Cricetulus griseus: one gene and its partner. The protein of the gene in region 1 binds, or shares a complex with, the protein of each later gene. Links are inferred from orthologs where the notes say so. Each region holds a gene or a part of one and is shown in the gene's direction. Other genes may lie near its edges.

Region 1 (5,573 bases):
GCTAACTTCTGATTGGTTCCTTGCCAGGAGGCAGGCGTCTGACCGCCTAGTGACCAAGGCAAGGTCAGGCAAGCACGTGTCCGGCTGTTATGGCTGCCGAAATGGGGAGCTGGTCCCTTCAGTACGGAAGTGACACGCTCATTACGTGTAATTAATATATGTTAATACAAAACTGTAAGACCCAGTGATTATTTGAAAGACTTGAGGCAGGATAGCTAATTATGACAGAGAGGGGGCATGGAAAGGGGAAGAGCCCCATTACTCTCCTGATCTGACTTTAGTTTACTTCAGGCTGACACTCAGATATATAGACATAACAAATCAGGCCACCTTAGAATGAACCAAGCTCCCCTTACAGAGAAACATCACAAATAAGAATTGGTTTTAATTTATTCACTTATTTTTAAATTATGTATATGTATTTTGTGTGTGGGGGGGTATGTGTACATAAGTGCAGGTGCCATAGATGCCAGAAGAGGCTCCTGTTTGTGAGCCTGATGTGGTTACTTGATTTGAACTCAGGGGGAAGAGCAGCTAGTGCTCCAGTCCACAAGTTTGTTGAAATGCCTAATGGATGATGTCTTAAATCCAATGTCCTTGTACTTATGTAGAAGTAAGTATCCTTTTGGTAAGTATTGTGTGTGCAAGTGTGCACATGTTTCTTTTTTCTTTTATTTATTAATTATGTATACAACATTCTGCTTCCATGTATATTTGCACACCAGAAGAGGGCACCAGATCTTATAAGGGATGGTTGTAAGCCACTATGTGGTTGCTGGGAATTGAACTCAGGACTTCTGGAAGAACAGTCAGTGCTCTTAACCTCTGAGCCATCTCTCCAGCCCCAAGTGTGCACATGTTTGAGTGCATTTGTGTGCATGTTCAAGTTCGTGCACACGTGTGTAGAGGTACATGTGCTTGTGGATGCACATAGGTCTGGAGGCTAGAGAACAACCACAAGTGTTGTTCTTCTGGTCCCTCTCTCTTTTTCAGATTGTGTGTGTCTCTCACTGGCCAGCAAGCCCCAGGACTCTACCTGCTTATGTCTCCCCACTGCTGAGACTAGAAGCCAACCCACCACTCCTGGCTTTTTAGTTCCCTGCCTCCTTTAAACATGAGTTGTAAGCATTGAATTCAGGTGAGTGTTTCAGCCCACTGAGGATCTTCCCAGCCAATGTGCTTATTTCTACTAGATTCTCTTCTCCACCTTCAAGCCCATGCAGTGTGCCTTAACAATTTCTTTTCCAAGAGCAAATTCTCTGGATAAGAAAAATCAGCACATCCTTTCTCTCATGTTTAAGCTCGGAGATTAAGCTGCTTTAACACCCCTCATCACACACGTATAGCTGCTGAGCCCCTTGAGTGTATTCCTCTCCTAAAAGGCACAATGGAGTCTCCAGTCTTGACGTTAGTCAGTGGCCTGGATAACTGTGTTTCATTGTGACCGGTCCCAAAATGCCTTTCCGTTGTAGATGTCAAAGGATCAGCTTCCCCAAACCCAGGTTCTGAGAATGCTCAGTCTGCACTGCCGCCATATTTAGTTGCATTTCTTGTTGCCAGACCTGACTCACACATTACCAGTGAAAGGCCTGGAAATTAGGGGTATCATCAAGATATCAATTCAGTAAGTGTGATGTCTAATACAATTTTTAAATTATTTTTGAAAACACACTCGTGATTACTTGTTGGTTGATAGTGTTTTGGCTTTTGATTAGTGAGATCGACTCTTAGGCCAAATACCTTTGCCATAGTTAGTGTTGACACAGGAGTTTAACTTGAAGCATCCTCTCTGTTGAACTGGCTGTTCGCCATCCATTGGCAGGTGGGGGCTGTCTGAGCTAGCCAGTAAACAGAGTCCTGCTTTTGCCTCCCTCAGTAATGAAATAAGCCCTTTCCTCCTCGGGTTGGTTTCAGTCAGTGTTTATCTCAGTAACAGAGAAAGAACGAGAAAAAGCAGCGGAGCTATCATCTTTACTTTGGACCTTTCATCTTTACTATCATCTGAGGACCTCTAGGTGAGGAGCGAAGTGTTTGGATACTTGAGCTTCTCCTGTCGGCATTTCTTGTGGTCCTTTTCTCTTCAAAGGAGCCTTCTGAATGGTCTGATTGTTGAGAGATACTTAAAACGGGAGGGCGCGTTCGCTTGCCCCTAAATGACTCAGAGCTAGCTTTGCTCTTTCTTGTTCCTCGACTTTTGGTCCCCCTGAGTTCCCAGCCGAGACTACATTTCCCAGCAGGCTGTGCTCAGAAGGACGGGTGCCCGCATGGGGCCAAAGGCCTCTGGGGGCGGCACAGTCGTGGTACAAGCTGCTGACCGGCGGGCGCTTTGCGGTTTGAATGGCTGCCGGCCCGGGCCCTCAGCTCATCTGAAGAGCCGCGGCCTCGGGGAGCGCCATGCCATCTGAAGGCAACCAGTCGCCACCGCCTCCTCCTCCGGCAGCAGCCAGCTCGGAGGAGGAGGAGGAGGAGGATGGCGACGCCACGGACGGCGCGCAGCCCGCGGAGTCCCCGGGCCCTCAGATCGAGCAGCGGTTCGAGGAGCTGTGTAGCCGCCTCAACATGGACGAGGCGGCGAGAGCCGAGGCCTGGGGCAGCTACCGCAGCATGAGCGAGAGCTACACGCTGGAGGTGCGCGCGCAGACCATCCGGGGAGGTCGGGGGACTCGGTGTGGCTCTGGGGTCGCTTGGTTGGTTGCATTGCACCATTGCCTCCGCCCTGGCTTTGCAGCCGTCAGCGGAGAGGAGTTAAGTTTTGGGCTTGCTTACGTGTGACAACGGTTTAAGATTTGTTATTCCCTACTCACCTCCCACCCCCGGCAGTTGAAAACCGGTGTAGACACACAACATTTGTTGTTGAGCTCTGACACTCTTTTTGGCTGTCATCCAACTATAGGTTTGTTATGTTCCGTTCTTGGGACGGGGCTTGAGGTTGACAAAAATGGCCATTCGGGCCAGTGCCTGTCAACTCTACAGGCACCTCCCCTGCATGGGCCAATAGGAAGTGACACGGAAGTACGGATTGTTTATCAGCTGCCTGTGCGAACGGCCCTTTTATGAACAGGTCCACGATCTGAAGGCTAAGCAAGGTGTTATTTAACTATAATATGGTGGTTATGTCTGTGTCGTTCTGCTGAGTTGGTGTATTTTGATATATATCTTTTAATCTGTTCACACATCGAATTCCCCCCTCTCCATTGTTATAGCACAGAAAAGAAATACGGCGGCATCAGACCTTAAGGATCTGAGTGACTCTGGACAAGTTTTTAAGCACTGCTTTCTTTTTTCAGGGAAATGATCTTCATTGGTTAGCATGTGCCTTATATGTGGCTTGCAGAAAATCGGTCCCAACTGTAAGCAAAGGGACTGTTGAAGGAAACTATGTGTCTTTAACAAGAATCCTTCGATGTTCGGAGCAGAGGTAACTATATTCGAGCTTGCAAAGTAGAATGTAGCTAAAATGAAAATCTTACAAATCATACAGGTAATGAAAATTCTCTTCGTTTACTATTTTCTGAGCATCTAACATGTGGATTGCTGAATTTAGAAACTGAGGGTTTTCCTTTACCATTTCAGAGTCAGGATCATATTTTACTAACTTGAGTATATTTGCATTTTAATGAATTAAAGGTTATGCCTCATTGTATATTATTAATATAAATTTAAATAAAGATATTGAGGAGCTTTTGAAGATACTATGGATCAAAAAGGTAAATAAAATGTCAATTATGTGGCTTTATGTTTAGACACTTGTGTTTTAATGTCCATGAAATGTGTAGACTTGAAGCTGCAGAGTCTCTGGCCCTAAAGAAACCCATACACACACACACACACACACACACACACACACACACACACACACAGAAAGAAACAAAGAAAAAGAAGAGAAAAAAGAAACTCCTACACACATACTAATATGTTTATTGCACCATTTAATAATTCATGATTTTTATACATATATGAGTGTCTGCATGTATCTGTGTATACCACATGTGTTCCTGGTGTCTGTGAAGGCCAGAAGAAAGCAAGGATCCCCTGGAACTGGAGTTACAGGTGTTTGTGAGTCACCATATGGGTGCTGGAACACACCTGGGTTCTCTGCAAGAGCAACAAGTGCTATTAACCACTCACACCTCAGCAGTCCTCCACAATTTTTTTTTTTCCGAGACAGGGGTTGTCTGTGGCTTTGGAGGCTGTCCTGGAACTACCTCTTGTAGATCAGGCTGGTCTCGAACTCACAGAGATCCACCTGCCTCTGCCTCCCGAGTGCTGGGATTAAAGGTGTGAGCCACCACTGCCCGGCTCCTCCACCATTTTTTTAAAAAGAAAATTAGAAATAACCTGAATTTCTTGTGATTGAGTGAATGCAGAGATATATGTGTTCATAGGAAGGAATGGTTTCCATCATTAAATACATGAGTTAGATATTTCCATGTATTAATATTAATGAATCTCAGAAACATTAAATGAAAATTAAGTTGCAGAATGCTACTTACGATGCATTTTACTTAAAATGTAAAAGAAAACAAGATAGTTATTTTTATGAATATATGTACAAAAAATTAACTTCAGAATGTGGGTTATATTGGTGGGAAGTAGAAAATGATATTAGGAGATGTATAAATTGAAATTTTGGCTGTTTCTATATTCATTTTAGTGTCTTATTTTTTAAAAAGTTTTAAGATGAATTTTATTTTATGTGTATGAGTATTTTTCCTGTATGTATGTACAAGCACAAGTGTGCATGTTTAGTGGCTACGGAGGTCAGAAGAGGACATCAGATCTCCTGGCACTGTAATAAAAGATGGTCATAAGCCACCTTGTAGGTGCTGGGCACTGAGCCGAGGCCCTCTACAAGAAAAGCAAATACGCTTAGCTGCTGAACCGTCTCTCCATCTCCATAGTTTTAGTATTTAAAGGATCTGAGCTGGGGCTGGTGAGATGATGCCAAGGGTTAGAGTTCCTGCCACACCCAGCAGAAAAATGTAAGTGATAAGTGGACCATGATTGAGGAAGGCACTTACCATCAATTTCTGGTTTCCTGTGCATTTCCACACACCACCTACATGAACATGTATACACACTAAGAAATCAAAACTATCATAATCTGAACAAAGTAGATTAGGAGGGTTGGAGTAAGAAGACAAATGGTAGGAGATAAAGTTAATCAAAGGCATGGCTTTGATTTTATGTCATTGTCAGAATATAATTTGATGAAATGATTTTGATTTACTGTTAATTGTATTGGCATAAAATCACCTTTATGTTATTAAAGTACCTCATTTTTATTTTTAATATCAGCTTAATTGAATTTTTTAACAAGATGAAGAAGTGGGAAGACATGGCAAATCTACCCCCACAATTCAGAGAACGTACTGAAAGATTAGAAAGAAACTTCACTGTTTCTGCTGTGATTTTTAAGAAATATGAACCCATTTTTCAAGACATTTTTAAATATCCCCAAGAAGAACAACCTCGCCAGCAAAGAGGACGGAAGCAGAGGTAGGCTTCTGTGTGTGTGTATGGTTCATCACTCTTCAAAAGGCACACATTTTCAGAGATCACTCTTCCCAAAG
Region 2 (5,654 bases), on another chromosome or scaffold:
AAGGACAAAATATCTTAAGGTTCTCAGTGATTCATGCTGATAGGAGTAACATGATTGGGGGTTGGGGGCAATTTCCAGAAAGGATTTTAAGGGGTTGGTAATGGAACTATGTAGACTGGAAACATTGTCCCTGTTACTAGAAAAAGATACCAGAATAGAACTAGGGGAGTAAAGTCATGCCAACCCTCTAAGGCCAACTCATTCCTCACACTGTCCCATTAAACAGCATATCCAAACCTGAACCTTTGTCGACTCCACCAATAATCTAACAAATGCACATTTTGCTGCAGAACTCATAGAAACCTGATGAACAGAAATAAAATTTTATGTATGTGCAACAGTATAGAGGGCATCCCCAGGCTGGATGAGTAAGAAGGAGACAATGTTGCTTAATGCAGGATTATGAATCTTTTTTTTTTTTTTTTGGTTTTTCGAGACAGGGTTTCCCTGTGGCTTTGGAGGCTGTCCTGGAACTAGCTCTTGTAGACCAGGCTGGTCTCGAACTCACAGAGATCCACCTGCCTCTGCCTCCCAAGTGCTGGGATTAAAGGCGTGTGCCACCACTGCCCGGCGGATTATGAATCTTGACAGTAACAGTATCTTGCCTCATGCTCTAGATCCTTGCTAAGGTGAAAGCTCACAAAAGGGTATCAACAAAGCTGGGGATCATAGGCTTGAAGCTTCCATAGCTCTACAACTGCCCTTAGGCAGTCTTCTTTGGGGTTCCAGTCCCAGTCTGGCAGAGTGGGAGTGTGTTTGCATTTGAGGAGCTGACTTTGGGAACATGTCTTCCTAGGCTCTCATTTTCTACCACCTGTTTGGGAAATATTTAGTCCTTTGAATGAATCAGTATTAGCATAACGTGCCCTTATTTACCTCCAAACGTTAACTTTGTTGAGAAAGTTTAACTTGGCCCAGAGCTTGTGAAAAACACTAGGAGCCATCATAGTTTGGGAAAACAGCTAGCAAATGGCTGCCTTTGATGTGGAAACCTAGGGTACATTTCTAGGCGATTCAGAGTTCCTTCGCACGACCCTAGTTGCACGACCCTAGTAGCACGACCCTAGTGAGCTCCCCTCCCTCCTCCCCTTACCTCAGATTATGTACAGAGGTTGGGTGGGGGAAGGGACACCCCTAAAATAAATTACTCTGAGAAAGGTGACCAAAAGGGGGGAGTTTCTGGGGAACAGAGGTGGCTGGTGCAGAGGTGAGAGACCGTGGGAGGAACCAGAGAGAGAAAGCAAGCCAAAGAGTGACAGTGGGCACTGAGCCGAACTGGAGGTGGGTGGGTCAGAGCCAGAAAAGGAAAGGCTCAGGAGCAAAAGGAGGGAGAGCCAGGCGTGACAGTCTGGGGCTGGATGCAGGGCCAGAGACAGTACAGAGTGACAGCCGGACACTCGGGGCTGGTGGAAGAGGGTCGGCAGAGGGGCTGGGACAGTAAGTCTGTCCGGCAGGAGCATGGTTTAGAGACGGGGCGGTAAGGACCCATTCCTAACATCATGGTCCCTCGTCGCCACCCTCACTCGCCTGCAGGATCCGGGTCCGCACTGCCGCCGCCGCCGCCGCCGCCGCCACCGCCGCCATAGCGCAGCACTTCTGCCTGGTTCACGAGCCAAGGCTGCCAGAGCCTCCCAAGAAGTCACACCGCTAGGCCACGCCTTCCACACGGCCGGGCCTTGCCATTGGAGGAGAGGGCCACGTCTCGTAACCAATCGCTTGTCAGAACTCTTGACTCCCACCCGTCCCTCCCAGTCTTGGGACTATGTGATTGGTCAGAAGAGGAAGCGTTCTCGCCCACTCTCACCCCAGCCGATTTTTGTTGGCGGAGAGCGGGAGACGCCCCCACCCCGACTCGGTCCTGCATATTAAGCACCAAGCGGAGCTGGGGAAGACGCCCCCTAACCGGGAGCTCCGATTGGCTACAGGTAGGCAGCCTCGAGGCCTCGCCCCCTCGCTAAGGAAAGTAAATAAGGCCCGTGGAGAATTTTGCCTGCGTTCCACCTTAACTACGGCGCCCCGGGCGGGGCTGCCTTCTGGGGTGGGACTAGGCAAATGTTACCCTATGGGCTAGGGCAGCAAGACCGGGTCGCGAGTTGAGGATAGGTTATTTCTCCAGGGGCGTGGCTTGTGGGTCCTCGCTTTCCCGCCGACGGTTGGCCACGTCACGTGACATGGGCTGGAAGATGGCGTCTCCCACGGACGGTAAGAGCCGGCTTGGAGATTGTTGCCCTGTAGTCTCTTTATTTGCTTCTCTGGGAGCTTCCTATGCCTTCACGCTTACCCTTCTTTCTTGGGCTCCTCTCCTTGCTCTCCCACTTCTTTCCTTCCGGGTATGTCGGGTTTTCAGCCCGCAGGGTTTTCACAGCGTCCCCGGAGGTGCCAAGTACCAGGTCTCCCCACTTGCTGGGTGAAGGAGGCCACCAAACAGACCCTTTCCCGGAAACAGGACAGAGTTCGGCCTGGCCCATCGGTGATGCCGAGGGCTCAGAAGGGGCTTCAGGGGAAAGGCAGCTTTCTTTTCGGATCCGCTCCTTGGAGTGTCGGTTCTGATCTCATCTCAGTAGAGCTAGAAGGAGTCTTTGAAGTCCTAGCTGTGGCTGGTGACTGACGTGAGGTTTCGAGTTCATCCCTAGGTCGAGAAACACGCTGTCTCCTTCTCAGTTTAGGTCCGTTGCCCTGGCAGCAGGAGAATCAAGGACCTGGTTTCCTGGCTCTGAGTCCCGAGGGAAATGAAAAGTAGTCTTGTTAATATAGTTTGTAGCGTCTCACACTCTTATTTTTTTTATGTGTTGTTTCCGTAGCCTGAGAGCAGGAGCAATTCTGCTTACATGACATCTAAGATGCAATTCATCTTAGGTGGCAATTAAGTATTTTCGTTATACCTGTATGCTTTTGCTCGAGGTTCTGTTTCAGGATTTGGAATTGCCCTTCAGTCATTATTCAGTATCTCAGTATATTCATTCTCAGCATAGTTATTTTGTTTTGGCCACAACCTAATTATAAGTTTCAAGTCTGTCTTATTTCAGAGTTTAATCCTAGGTTTTATCCTAATGCCTGCAAAGCATTTGGCCTTAAGTTAATGTTTCTCAAAAAATGAAACTGGCCTTGGTGTGTGACCTCTAATCCTAGCTACTTGGGAGATCAAGGCAGGAAGATTGTTGCTTCAGGCTTGCCTAGGTTACAGAAGGAATTGTGGGCAAAGTATGTCTCAAAAAGGTGGGGTTTTTTGTTTGCTTGTTTTTCTAGACAGGGTTTCTCTCTGTAACCCTGGCTACCCTGAAACTCATTCTGTAGACCGTGCTGGCCTAGAACTCAGCCCCTCCTGCCTCTGCCTCTTGAGTGCTGTGATTAAAGGCATGCATGACCATCCAGTGGATCTGACTGACCTCCATGGGCATCAGGCAGGCATATTGTGCCCATAACATTCAGACAACAGCAATACAGATAAATAAATCTGAAAATAAAAAGTGAGTATATAGGTTAGTGGGAGAGAGCTTTGCCTCTGATGAACAAAGCCCTACGTTCAGTCTCTAGCACACATCTAAACTAGTGAAAAGTAGGTGTTGGTGGCGCTCGCCTTTAATCCCAGCACTCGGGAGGCAGAGGCAGGCGGATCTCTGTGAGTTCAAGGACAGCCTTGTCTTCAGAGGGAGTGCCAGGATAGGCTCCAAAGCTACACAGAGAAACCCTGTCTCAGAAAAACAAAAAACAAAACAAAATAAACTAGTGAAAAGTAAATAATTCAAAGGGTTTTTGCTTTTAAAGAATCGGGGTTCATGGTGTTGTAATGTCTCAACATGGAGAGGATTGGGAAAGAACATAGTGGGTTTAAGGGGTTTTCCCTACATGTAATACAGAAAGACATCAAGTAGCTTCTTGGACATGTTATTCTGAAGTTCAGGAGAAAGGTTGGGACTGGAAATATGAATAGTTGTTGTTATGTAATAGTGAGAGTTGTAGCGAGTAAAGCTAGCATAGGGTGAGGTTTGAGTGGAGACTGAAGAAGGAATAACTAAGAGAAGAACCAATATGGTGGTTTCATAGGAGCATAGAAGCATCACATGCTATTGAGAGGTCACAGAAGAAATGATTTCACATAGAGAACTTTGATAACTGTAGTCTAATGCATGCACAGACAGATCATGATTTTGTTTTATAGGTTAAGGAGGCAGAGTAGGGTCTGGGAAGGTGGCACAGTATGTAAGCATGCTTGCTCTTCAAAGATGAGGACCTGAGTTCAAATCTCAGGCACTCACTTAAAAGCTAGGTATGGGTGCATGTGCCTATAATACCAGCATCTTGGACAACAGAAACAGGTGGATCCTGAGAGCTTGCTGGCTAGCCAGTCTAGCTAGCTTCTGGTTTAGTGGGAGACATTGTGTCAAGACAATAAATCTGAGAGCAAAAGGAATACATTCAGCATCCTTCCTGATCTTCACAGTCACAGACACCTACATCTGCACTCATTACACCCATACAGTGAGTGCCCTCTCGAGCACATGCATGCTCACACACAGAGGAATGTGAGGTGTGGAAATAAGAACAGGATACCCTGGAGGGAGGTTGTGAGTTTAAGGGGAGAGACTGCATGTTTATAATGTTTATGTGTGTGTCTGCACTCAGACATGCATGTTGGTACCAGTATATGTGGAGTCTAGTTAACCTTAGGTGTAGTCCCTCAAAAGCCACCCACCTTGTTGAAGTAAGACCTTTCATTGGCCTGAAAGTAGTAGGCTAATGGCTAGCCAGCAAGGTCCAAGAACCCCTCAGTGCTGGGATCACTAACACTGCTACCTCATTTTTTTTTTTTTTTTTTTTTTTTTTTTTGGTTTTTTGAGACAGGGTTTCTCTGTGTAGCTTTGGAGCCTATCCTGGCACTCACCCTGGAGATCATGCTGGCCTCAAACTCACAGAGATCTACCTGCCTTTGCCTGCTGGAGTGCTGGGATTAATTGTGTGCGCCACCAACGCCTGGCAACCTCATATTTTTTTCATGTAAGTTCTGGAGAGCAAACTCAGGTCCTCAGGTTTGCTCAATAAGCAGTTTACTGACAGATCTTTCACAAACTGCCCCCCACCCCCACCCTCCTTGTCTTTTTTTTTTTCAAAGGAGGGAAATTCTGAGCTAATGAGATGGCTTATCAGGTAAAAGAACTTGTCACCAAGACTGCTAACCTTGGTTTGAGCCCAGAATCCACATGTTGAAGAAGAGAATCAACTTCAATTTTTAGGGCACAAATATGAACCCAATAAATATTATTTTACAGCCGGGCGTTGGTGGTGCATGTCTTTAATCCCAGCACTTGGGAGGCAGAGGCAGGCGGATCTCTATGAGTTCGAGGCCAGCCTGGTCTCCAGAGCGACTGCCAGGATAGGCTCCAAAGCTACACAGAGAAACCATGTCTCTGAAAAATCAATCAATCAATCAATCAATCAATCAATCAATCAATCAATCAAATAAATGCTCTCTTTTTTTTTTTTTTGGCTTTTTGAGACAGGGTTTCTCTGTGTAGATTGGGCTGACCTGGAAATCACTCTGTAGACCAGACTGGCCTCAAACTCACAGAAATCCACCTGACTCTGCCTCCTGAGTCCTGGGATTAAAGGTGTGCACTGTCACTGCCAGGCAATAAATATTACTTTCAAAAGTCAAA

What was found. The genes of interacting proteins can lie anywhere in the genome.
Region 2: Rbl2 (region 1) and Lin52 share a complex: the UniProt entries of both Homo sapiens proteins name them as parts of the DREAM complex. The link is inferred for Cricetulus griseus from reciprocal best matches to the Homo sapiens genes RBL2 and LIN52.

What each region holds. Positions count from the first base shown.
Region 1 is NC_048596.1:166,738,427-166,743,999, forward strand, and holds the start of Rbl2 (retinoblastoma-like protein 2), read left to right. Parts: upstream 1-2,394; coding exon 2,395-2,628; intron 2,629-3,005; exon of another isoform or gene 3,006-3,086; intron 3,087-3,287; coding exon 3,288-3,418; intron 3,419-5,298; coding exon 5,299-5,499; intron 5,500-5,573. UniProt on the Homo sapiens protein: Key regulator of entry into cell division. Directly involved in heterochromatin formation by maintaining overall chromatin structure and, in particular, that of constitutive heterochromatin by stabilizing histone methylation.
Region 2 is NC_048598.1:119,313,830-119,319,483, reverse strand, and holds the start of Lin52 (protein lin-52 homolog), read left to right. Parts: upstream 1-1,965; 5' UTR 1,966-2,171; coding exon 2,172-2,202; intron 2,203-5,654. Other genes in the region: Aldh6a1 (methylmalonate-semialdehyde dehydrogenase [acylating], mitochondrial), read right to left, coding at 1,528-1,584.